Linked DNA regions of Macaca fascicularis. The protein of the gene in region 3 purifies or fractionates together with the protein of the main gene of each other region. This does not show direct contact. Links are inferred from orthologs where the notes say so. Each region holds a gene or a part of one and is shown on either strand. Other genes may lie near its edges.

Region 1 (3,749 bases), on a different chromosome or scaffold from region 3:
TCCAGCTACTCGGGAGGCCAAAGCAGGAGAATCATTTGAGCCCAAGAGGCAGAGGTTCAGTGGGCCAAGACTGTGCCATTGTACTCCAGCCTGGGTGGCAAGAGCGAAATCCTGGCTCAAAAAAAAAATAAAAAAGAAAAGATAAGCTTGGGCGGGGAGGGGTGGATGCAAAAAAAAAAATAAGTTTGGACTCATTAATTCCTTGGTTCCTTCAAAGTTTTAATATTTTATTATGCCTTTGATTCCTTCTCACTTTTGTTTCACCTTTTCCATTCATTTCTTCTTCTCCTCTTCCTCCTTTCCCTTTCCTTTCTGTGTTTCTGCTTATTTTCTATTACAAACCAAAATATGTGGACCATAAACTGCATCTGCAGTTCCTTTAGCCCTAACAGACTACGAGTTCTATTTCTCTTTATCTTTCTCTTTTTCACTTTCTTGTCTTTCCATTACTTATAAGTTTCTTAATTTTCCTGAGTCTCAGTTTTTCCATCTGGAAAGTGGAGATAACAATTACTAGATTGTTGTATCAGATGAATTAAGTAATGCTCGTAGCTTAACACAAAGGCCAAGATGTCATTAACTTTACCCTCACTTGACCTTCTGCAAGCCTGCTGTGAAATATAAAACACTATATAAATGTTAGTTGTTTTTGTTTTTATTAAAGTATGTTGAAGTAGAAAGATGGTTTTGAGTTTGAAAAGCTCCAGATAAATCCTTGGATTTTTATGAGTCTCAATTTCCTTTTCTGTAAAATGAGTAACATAGGGGTTTTTCCGCCCCAAGAAACTAAGAGTCCATGTACTGAAAGCATCATTCTACAAGTATTAATACATATATAGTAATCATGGTAGAGGGTGTCCTGAAGTCACACTGGGAATATTTGTGAGGATTCAACGGAATAAAATTTTAAAAGATGTCTGACCAATAGTAAGCACTCAATACATGTTAGCAATTATTATCTTTTACTCTTCTCACTTCTTTTCTCCTGCTCTTCAAAAAAGTGAGTGGTTGAACGACCTAGGTGATCTCTGCTGCTAAACTTCTATTATTGATTATTGTTTACTTCCTCTCTGCCCCTTACTCCCCCATCCCGTTTTTTTCCCGCTTCTTCACTCATTCCATTACAGCTTTTCTCTTGCCTCAGGCACCCAGGGCAGTCCTGATCTCCAGCTCTCCAGCGGCTTAGAACAAACACAGAGTCGGCCGAGACCAGGGGACCCGCCAAAGACGTCTGTGTTTAGTGGCTAGCGATCTTCCACTAATAAAGTTTTATTGAAATACAGTATTTAAAAAGGCGCCCGTCATTCTTCCCCCGGCGACCAATCGGAGAGTAGAATGCTTGCGTCCCTCACTGGAGCTTCAGCGGTTGGAACGCGGGGGCGGGGCATGTCCTGCCGAAATTTGCGTCCTTAGAGCGGAAGTACGGCCGGAAGCCCGCCATAGAGTTTAGTGGCCAGAGCGACTCTTCAGGGAGGTGGCAGGAAAGGCTTGGAACAGCTGCCGGAGGTGACGGAGCGGCGGCCCCGCCCGGTGCGCTGGAGGGCGAAGCTTCCAGGTAGCGGCCCGCAGAGCCTGACCCAGGGTACGACGAAGCAGTCGGCGGGAGCCCACGGTCGCTGGGCGGTGTCTTTAAGGGAGGGGGCGGAGCCACGTGTAAGCTTCATTGGGGTGAGGTCACGTGGTTGTGGGCGCGTGCGGGGCAGGAGTGGAGAACTGAGGGAGCGTCGTCGTTAGTGTGGATACCATGCGACACCCCTTTCTCCGTTGCATCCTGTCTTGGGGTTCAGTGGCGGTGCACATGATGGGGCTTGGGGTTAGGCTCGGGGGAGGGGGTGGGTGTGGCAGCCTTGTGAAGTGGCTGACTTTAGGATTTGTAGATCAGAATTCTAGACCGCTCCATGTGTGATTCCTCACCGCAGAACCGACTTAGTACCTATAACAATCCAGTCCTTCAGCCTTGTGCTTCCCATCCTACCAGCCATCGGGGATCTCTAGCTTCACATTCTCTTTCCTTGCAGCTCTGGACATCCTGAGCCCAGGTGCCCCCAGCTCAGTGCAGTCATGAGTGCGGAAGTGAAGGTGACAGGGCAGAACCAGGAGCAATTTCTGCTCCTAGCCAAGTCGGCCAAGGGGGCAGCGCTGGCCACACTCATCCATCAGGTGCTGGAGGCCCCTGGTGTCTACGTGTTTGGAGAACTGCTGGACATGCCCAATGTTAGAGAGGTGGGTTGCTGGCTTGAATAGTCCACAGAGAAGCATGGGCAAAGGTTTGAATTTGAGAATGGGTGGGCAGGGCTCAATTTGTGATCCCATACCATTCAGTTGAACAAGAAAACAGTGATGATTAAATGCCAACTTGCAAAAGTAACCAGTAAACAAGCAAACCAGCTTTCCTTTGGAGATAAAGGATCTGTAAAGTCCACTGTTTTTCATTTTAAGCAAAAGAGCATGTTATTCAGAATAGGAAATCTGATTTCCAGCCCGTCTCCACCAGCGTAATAGCTGTTAATTCTCATGTCACCTTGATCAGGTCACTTTTGTTTTAGGGCCTGAGCTCTCTTTTTTAAAAATGGAGACAATACTGCCCCCTCTGTTGTGGGAATAAAGTGAGATTATGGGAAAGTGTAAAGTCTGGTACAAGTGGGTAGTGAACATGTTAAATTAGCATGCCCTATTCTTCCCTATGTGCAGCATATGCTAATCTGTTCAAGGTAGCTAAGGGAGAATGTGTCTTTTTCCCAAAGACACATGGCAAACACTAGGAACACAGCAGAGAGAACCATTCACACAAAAGTGGCAGAGTTAATTTACAGAGGAGGCAGCCTGAGTCCTGACATGCTGACAGTGATATGTGGGTAAACTGAGCTAAGTTATGTGGGGCCTGTGGTTTAACCTTTTGGATCACTCTGTGATATGGTGAAAACTGGCTGACTTTTCCCTGCTTTCATCTGCAGTGGAACTAAAGAGTATCCATCAAGGTGATGAAAAAGAAGCACTTGGCCTGGTGCAGTGGCTCACGCCTGTAATCCCAGCACTTTGGAAGGCCAAGGCAGGTGGATCACCTGAGGTCAGGAGGTGAAACCAATATGGCAGAACCCTGTCTCTATTAAAAATACAAACAGGGCTGGGCGCAGTGGCTCACGCCTGTAATCCCAGCACTTTGGGAGGCTGAGGCAGGCGGATCACAAGGTCAGGAGATCGAGACCATCCTGACGGTCTAACACGGTGAAACCCCATCTCTACTAAAAATACAAAAAATTAGCTGAGGCCGGGCGCAGTGGCTCAAGCCTGTAATCCCAGCACTTTGGGAGGCCGAGAGGGGCGGGTCACGAGGTCAGGAGATCGAGACCATCCTGGCTAACACGGTGAAACCCCGTCTCTACTAAAAAATACAAAAAACTAGCCGGGCGAGGTGGCCGGCGCCTGTAGTCCCAGCTACTCGGGAGGCTGAGGCAGGAGAATGGCGTAAACCCGGGAGGCGGAGCTTGCAGTGAGCTGAGATCCGGCCACTGCACTCCAGCCTGGGCGACAGAGCGAGACTCCGTCTCAAAAAAAAAAAAAAAAAAGGCCGGGCGCGGTGGCTCAAACCTGTAATCCCAGCACTTTGGGAGGCCAAGACGGGCGGATCACGAGTTCAGGAGATCGAGACCATCCTAGCTAACACGGTGACACCCCGTCTCTACTAAAAATACAAAAAACTAGCCGGGCGAGGTGGCGGGCGCCTGTAGTCCCAGCTACTCGGGAGGCTG
Region 2 (3,749 bases), on a different chromosome or scaffold from region 3:
ATTGGAGTGTCAAGAAAGAGTTCGTGGTCGATCTCACTGGACTGTATTTTTAAAGATTAATATGAGTTCCCAGGCAGAAAATGTAGGAAAGAGCATTTCAAGCAATGCTGACCACATATGCAAAGCCAAAGGAAATATATTTGCATTGCTAGAACGAAAAGTTTCAGGGGGGACTAAAGAGAGATGAAGCTGGAAGAGGTGCGTAGGGGCCAGGTTGTTAACAGCTGTGGTGCTATCTTTTCTTTTTTCTTTTTCTTTTCTTTTCTTTTTTTTTTTTTTTTTTTCTTTTTTGAGACTGGCTCTGTCTCACAGGCTGGAGTGGCGCGATCTAGGATCACTGCAACTTCCGCCTCCTGGGTTCAAACGATTCTCCTGCCTCAGCCTCCTGAGTAGCTGGGTCTACAGGCGCACACCATCACGACTGGCTAATTTTTTTGTATTTTTTTAGAGACTTCACCATGTTGGCCAGGCTGGTCTCGAACTCTCGATCTCAAGTGATCCGCCCGCCTCGGCTGCCCAAAGTGCTGGGATTACAGGCGTGAGCCACTGCGCCTGGCCTGTGATGCTATCTTTTCAGGAAAGGAAAAAAAAAAAAAAATCTTGAACACCTATGCTAGGTGCTAGGAGATAAAACAAGGAACGCAGACCTGCTCCCTGTGTCTTGAAACTTAAAATCTTGCATGGATGGAGAAATGAGATGGAGAAAAAAGAAAACCTAAAACACGTAAACTAATTTAAAAAATAATTGAACATTGTATTAACTGTAGGAAGAAAACAAACCAGTTGCCGAGATTAATTACGCTTTGGGAACAAATGCGGTTCACAGGAGTACCAAAGATTTAACTGTAACCTATTATAAGAACTGAGTACTGGACATTTTCAGAACAGTAATGGCACATAATTCACAGCAGTGCCAAAGATTTAACTGTAACCTATTATAAGAACGGAGTACTGGACATTTTCAGATCAGTAATGGCACATTATGCATATGTAGATGTTAATTTTTACCGACACCCAAAAAGACATGACAATAGCAATCAAGGAGTACCCACTGCCTCCTGGCATCGATAGAAAAAGCCCATCTGCAAGTTAAGTGCCAAGCCACCACGAGCCCGTTAGCTTTTACGCATGTGCAGTGAGTCATCTTGAAGTAAACTGGAATGCCATGTTTATCTTCCTCTCAACCAGCTTCCAGAACGACTTTTAGCTCAGTTGTACAACAGACGGCCTTACCCTTTAGTCTTTCAACAAACATCTCATTTAAGGTACCTAGACCCACACAAAAACACTTTCTGCCCTCCACATCCCACCGTTAAGGCTCCAACTACCTTTAATATGGCGGAGACCGAGCCTGCGCAGTACAAGCAGAGAAGGCAAATAACAGTTTCTGGAATAACGTTACATGCCCTTCTTCCGGTATGGAAGACTATACCATTCCCATACCCTATAATTCTGTTTGTTCTATTTCACACATACAATTTTCCGAGACAAGATGTTCTAATTTAAGTCACAAGAAGATTCGTCTCTCCCTATTCCTGTAACTGCTGCTTATATCGTCACGTCCCGGAAAGGTCCCTGTCTTCCCTGAATGGTCTCTACCAAGTTCACCTCCGGTTCTAGGTGTCATGGCTGCCCCGAGAGTCTAGGTAAGAGTTTGTTCCCGTGGTGCGGAGGGTCAAGGCCCACACCCGGAGACCTAGCGAGGTAAAGTTGCGTCTTGGTTGTAGAGACGACAACTTCTCCGCTTTCTCTGCAATGGCGGCGTCCGGGAGCGGTATGGCTCAGAAAACCTGGGAATTGGCCAACAATATGCAGGAAGCTCAGAGTATCGATGAAATCTACAAATACGACAAGAAACAGCAGCAAGAAATCCTGGCGGCGAAGCCCTGGACTAAGGAGTGAGGAGGTCCCTGGCGAGACGCAGGGGAGGGAAGGGTTGGCGGGAGTTTAAGAGACCCAGAGGGAGAGGGAGGTGAAAGGGGTGAAGAGCTTTCACCGACGGGGAGGGGAACAGAATATGCGCCTTGGATCTGCAAGTAGAGCCTAAGCCCTCCGCTGGGGCTTTGACTCCCCTTTCTGTCGCTTTAATCCATTTACCCCCGGATGATGTAAGGGGAGAACAACAAGCGGTGATTTAAGTTGTCACTTCTGAACATCCGTATTGTCATATATGCCGCACACCCTGCCTTGAACCCAGTGGCGACATGCACCTTATTTGGGTCTTCAGCTATTCCCTTACTGGGGACCGCAGTTGTTTTCAGAAATCGAGTCAGCAGCTCAAGGTCTCAAAAATAGCTATGAGCTATTTTCTTTTATTTTCTTTTTTAACTAGAGGTGGGTCCTCGCTATGTCGCTCAGGCTGATCCCGAGCTCCTGCCTTCAAGCGATCCTCCCACCTTGGCCTTCCAAAATGCTGGAATTACAGGCGTGAGGCCTGGGTCTATAATAGTTTTTTGATTGCTGATAATTATTTCGGAGGCACACGGAGGCTCTACCTGGTCTCTACAATGTTACTCCATCAGTTCCCATAAGCCAGAAATTTTAAAAATAGAGCTTAAGACTTTTTGCCCTTCAACAATACCCATTTTTCCCTGGGAGTGGTGACAAGTCGAGGGATCTTTACCCATAATATTTATGTTTTCCTGAGAGCATCTCCTGAGAGATTTCCTGCTCTCAGGAAAAGATAATTATTACGGGCTATGTTTGAGAGAGAGTAAAAGGAGCACAAAAGCTAATGGTTAGATAGAAATGAGAGCTGCAGTCAACAAGAGGACATACTTCTACTGCCTCACAGTTTTTTTTACAAAGCTAGCCTTGTCTCAGTATTCAGATTCCACAATGGTGAATTGCGGAAGCATCTAGCTAGAGATTTCCACGTCATTTAATCTTTATGACAACCCAGTACAGTATATCCATCCTTTTTTTACAAATTAAAAAACAAGCAAATACATTATGTAATTTATGATCACACTGAGATAAGTGAACTCTTAGCTGAGCAATAGTCAGACCTAAGATCAAACTTCACAGCTGTCACTAACTAGTTGACTGACCTTAGGAAATTTACTTATCCATCTTCATTTGTCATAGTATGGAAATAAGACCTACCTATTGGTATTGTCATAGAGATTAGGTGAGATAATGTATAAAAAGAGTCGTCTAGAATATATGTAATAGGAGCACAGTAACTTGTCTTTCTTCTTTTCTCCAGTAAAGGGAGAAGCCAAGATTTCGATTCATGTCTTGATTTCCAACATGAGGTCTACACATTTTTCAGCTTTTGGTTGAAATCTGGCAAAGCTTAGGAATTAAATTTGGATTCTTTCTGTGGGCAGACATCTAAAAAGGCTTTGTAGAGACGTTGACTGACTGCTCTGTAAGGCTGCTTAAGTTGCTTGGTTGTCTGCTTGTTTCTGTAGCAGGTTGTGCATTTTAGGTTTGTGTACTCTTAAATATTTGGAAACTGTCGGCCTGCTTCACTGTCTAATTGTGGCTCTAATTATATTCATCCTAGCTGTCTTGGGCTGCACTAATGAGACCAAAATGTAATTTTATTCAAGAGTTTAATTCACTGATGACCAACTCTGAAATAATGATCATAGAAGACTAGGATATTATGGCTACTTTTTAATTTGAGGCTGATATAACAGGGAAGCCCACCCTTCAACACTCTGTTCTTTGAGAGTAGGGTTAAGAGACAGGTTAATAATGCTGATAACAGCTAGCACTTATTAGGGTTCTAGTATGTGTAA
Region 3 (3,661 bases):
AAAAAGAAAAAAAAAAAGGCAAGGCGTTCCAATCATTCTCCCTTCACAGAGAAGCAGCTTGGATTCTATGGGGCTGTAGTTTCTGGATTCCGACTGCAAAGCTGACCGCTGGTACAGCGCAGCTTCTAACTTAGGAAAGGCACTAGCTCTCTACAAAGCCGCCACGCCCCAACTACACCCTGTAGCTACCAGCCAATCCCAAAGCCCGAGCGGGAGTCATCACCAGTTGCAAGGCGGGAGCCAGGGCCTTGGCTGGTACCAGGCCTCCTCCCCGGACCCGCAGAGGCCTGGCAGCGCCTCGTCTGAGGAGGGTTCGTGTCGGGAGGCCAAGGCTGGATGATTACTTAAGCCCATGAGTTCAAGACCGGCCTGGACAACATAGCGAGACCCCGTCTCTCCAGAAAAAGAAAAAAAAAGAAAAAGAGAGAGAGAGATAAATTAGCCGGGCGGGGTGGCGCACGCTTGTAGTCCCATCTACTTAGGAGGCTGAGGTGGGAGGATCGCTTGAGCCCAGGAGGTGGAGGCTGCACTGACCTATCATCGCGCCACTGCTCTCCAGCGTGGGCGACAGAGCCAGACCCTGTGGCTGAAAAAAATAAAACATAAAGCCGGGGGCCATCTTTGCTCCGGGCAGGTCAGCTGACCCGGGCTGGCACAGGCCCTGGCGCAGTTCCCGCCCCTCCCGAGAGCGCTGGCACCGCCCCCTCCCCGCGCCCCCTCCTTCCAGGAAGGGGCGGGGTCTCCTAGACGGGTGGGGCCGGAGCTCGGAGCTGGTTTGAACAAGCCCTGGGCATGTTTGGCGGGAAGTTGGCTTAGTCGGCTACCTGTGGCCCCGCAGTTTTGTAGTCCCCGCCTTGTTTCTCCCCAGAGGTCTCTCAATCCTCCCTCCATGATCTTCGCATAGAGCACAGTACCCCTTCGCACGGAGGACGCGATGGCTCCCAAGAAACGCCCAGAAACCCAGAAGACCTCCGAGATTGTATTACGCCCCAGGAACAAGAGGAGCAGGAGTCCCCGGGAGCTGGAGCCCGAGGCCAAGAAGCTCTGTGCGAAGGGCTCCGGTACTGCCTGTGCCTGCTGCTTGAATATTTCCGCCTTTAGGGGTGCTCGCGCAGGAGGCTGCAGCGGGGGATGGGTGCTCCGAGGCTCCCGAGGCCGGCGCAGGTCACGGATGCCTCCGGCTGTGCATTCTACCTGCAGGTTCTTTGACACCAGAGCGTTTAGGCTTCAACACCTCTCCCGCCAGGTGACAGGAAGCAGACAAGCTCCGTAACAACAGACACACGGACTTGTCAGATTCCTTGTTTGTAGCAGGGTTCTTGCACAGTTTGGACGGCTTCAGAGAATCCTACCTTTCCTGGCACTGTGTGTGCTGGATTTCATAGTCACGCTTGTTAGCTGCACGTGCTAGGTGGTCAGTTGTGAGAGCCCCCAATTCCTTCCCTCCTTAGAAAGCTCATTCTCTGAGGTTTACTGGGGCTTGAACCTGGGGCTATAAGGAGTTTCGAGACACTCAAAAACTGGAGCTGGGGCTTGTTAATCAAGTGGGTTTTGTCCATGTGAAGAAAGAATTGGTTGTCAGGACGTCGGACCTATAGTGATTGGGTCCTCAAATGCAAGTTTGGTGATCCGGAGTTGTTGCTTTATTGCTATTCTAATTTCACTCACCTCCCCAGAAGTAACCTAGTTAAGAGCATTTCCAGGCCTTCCTATTCCTTCTTTTCCTAAACGGTGACTTCTGCCATGCTCCCCTAAAATATTTTTATTGTGCATTATATGTGATTTATAAAATTGTGACCCTGTCCCATCTCGTTTTGCAGCCCAAACTGGGAAGAGTTCTGCAGTGTACTTTATTCTTGTGTGTTTCTTTGGCTGGGGTCTCAGGAACCCTGCACGATTATTTACTTTCATTTCAGTCTTACTGTTTGGAGGAGTGTTTTGGGGAAGGGGCCAAATCCCTACTCATTTTTTTTTTTATTTCTGGTGCTGGGTGAGACCGCACAGACACAGAAAGGCCTCAGGAGATGATGAGACAGAGATTAGCCATGCCGAATGAAACAAGGCTTCCTTTCAGGGAATTCAGCAGAAAAACCTTTCGTGAGATTGGAGAGGAAAATATGTCTGTTCTGCTTGGCAGGTCCTAGCAGAAGAGGTGACTCAGACTGCCTCTGGGCGGGGCTGGCTGGCCCACAGATCCTGCCGCCATGCCACAGCATCGTCAGGACCCTCCACCAGCATAAGCTGGGCAGAGCTTCCTGGCCATCTGTCCAGCAGGTAAGGCATTTTTTGCCTCAAGTCCTCAAGGGTTTGCACGTGCATTTTTACTATTGCATGCTCCCAAATTAGATGATGGCTTGGTTCACCAGCTTGTCAGAGTGGTCCGATCACCCAGACTGTGGTGACTGGCCTACTGGGCACTCAGCCATCTAAAAAAAGTCTTATGTTGTAAAGGTCCCAGCTGGAATGCACTCTGCCCCTTTTGCTTTCCCAGATTATTAGTTCATGTACATTGCAAATATTTTCATGCACAGGGCAGGCGGTTAGCTTTCCTTTGGTGGGAGGACTTGGCTCTAGGGCTCATCTATGAAGGAGGCAGAGATTGGCAGTTTACCCAGAACTTGGGTTTTAATTCAACCTAATTCATTTCTCTCTGTGGCAGGGGCTCCAGCAGTCCTTTTTGCACACTCTGGATTCTTACCGGATATTACAAAAGGCTGCCCCCTTTGACAGGAGGGCTACATCCTTGGCGTGGCACCCGACTCACCCCAGCACTGTGGCTGTGGGTTCCAAAGGGGGAGATATCATGCTCTGGAATTTTGGCATCAAGGACAAACCCACCTTCATCAAAGGGGTGAGCAGTTCCCCATGCCAGGTTGTGCTAAAGAAGTGTTTGCTGGCCGGGCACGGTGGTTCACGCCTGTAATCCCAGCACTTTGGGAGGCCGAGGCGGGCGGATCACCTGAGGTCTGGAGTTTGAGACCAGCCTGGGCAACATGCTGAAACCCTGTCTCTACTAAAAATACAAAAATTAGCTGGGCGTGGTAGCAGGTGCCTGTAATCCCAGCTACTCAGGAGGCTGAGGCAGGAGAATCGTTTGAACCTGGGAGGTGAGGTTGCAGTAAGCCAAGATTGCGCCATTACGCTCCAGCCTGGGCAATAAGAGTGAAACTCCATCTCAAAAAAAAAATAGTAAAATAAAATAAAAATAAGGAGTGTTTATTGAAGGAATGAAAGGGATATTGATGTCACCCAGTAATCGTCAGGAAGAGGACTGGGATCAAAAGTAACTGTGGGCATTTTCAAATACGTAAATGGTGATGGTATATATTTTTCTAATGCCTGCCCTTAAAATACTAGAAGATATAGACTATTGATCATCCATAGAATTGAAGCCCCTTCTGGGCTGGGCGCGGTGGCTCACTCCTGTAATCCCAGCACTTTGGGAGGCCAAGGTGGGCTGACCACGAGGTCAAGAGATCTAGACCATCCTGGCCAACACGGTGAAACCCCGTCTCTACTAAAAATACAAAAAATTTGCTGGATGTGGTGGCGCGCGCCTGTAGTCCCACCTACTCGGCAGGCTGAGGCAGGAGAATCGCTTGAACCCGGGAGGCGAAGGTTGCAGTGAGCCGAGATCGCACCACTGCACTCCAGCCTGGGC

Evidence for each region. The genes of interacting proteins can lie anywhere in the genome.
Region 1: the proteins of DDB2 (region 3) and COPS7A purify together in Homo sapiens (affinity purification with mass spectrometry; 5 studies listed by BioGRID and IntAct, counting the BioPlex papers as one, with this or other methods). This does not show direct contact. The link is inferred for Macaca fascicularis from reciprocal best matches to the Homo sapiens genes DDB2 and COPS7A.
Region 2: the proteins of DDB2 (region 3) and COPS5 purify together in Homo sapiens (affinity purification with mass spectrometry; 10 studies listed by BioGRID and IntAct, counting the BioPlex papers as one, with this or other methods). This does not show direct contact. The link is inferred for Macaca fascicularis from reciprocal best matches to the Homo sapiens genes DDB2 and COPS5.

The regions. Positions count from the first base shown.
Region 1 is NC_088385.1:7,643,765-7,647,513, forward strand, and holds the start of COPS7A (COP9 signalosome complex subunit 7a), read left to right. Parts: upstream 1-1,448; 5' UTR 1,449-1,555; exon of another isoform or gene 1,556-1,653; intron 1,654-2,018; 5' UTR 2,019-2,061; coding exon 2,062-2,223; intron 2,224-3,749.
Region 2 is NC_088382.1:77,046,862-77,050,610, reverse strand, and holds the start of COPS5 (COP9 signalosome complex subunit 5), read left to right. Parts: upstream 1-1,622; 5' UTR 1,623-1,755; coding exon 1,756-1,898; exon of another isoform or gene 1,899-1,906; intron 1,907-3,749. UniProt on the Homo sapiens protein: Probable protease subunit of the COP9 signalosome complex (CSN), a complex involved in various cellular and developmental processes.
Region 3 is NC_088388.1:18,629,308-18,632,968, reverse strand, and holds the start of DDB2 (DNA damage-binding protein 2), read left to right. Parts: upstream 1-745; 5' UTR 746-934; coding exon 935-1,061; exon of another isoform or gene 1,062-1,246; intron 1,247-2,137; coding exon 2,138-2,274; intron 2,275-2,659; coding exon 2,660-2,851; intron 2,852-3,661.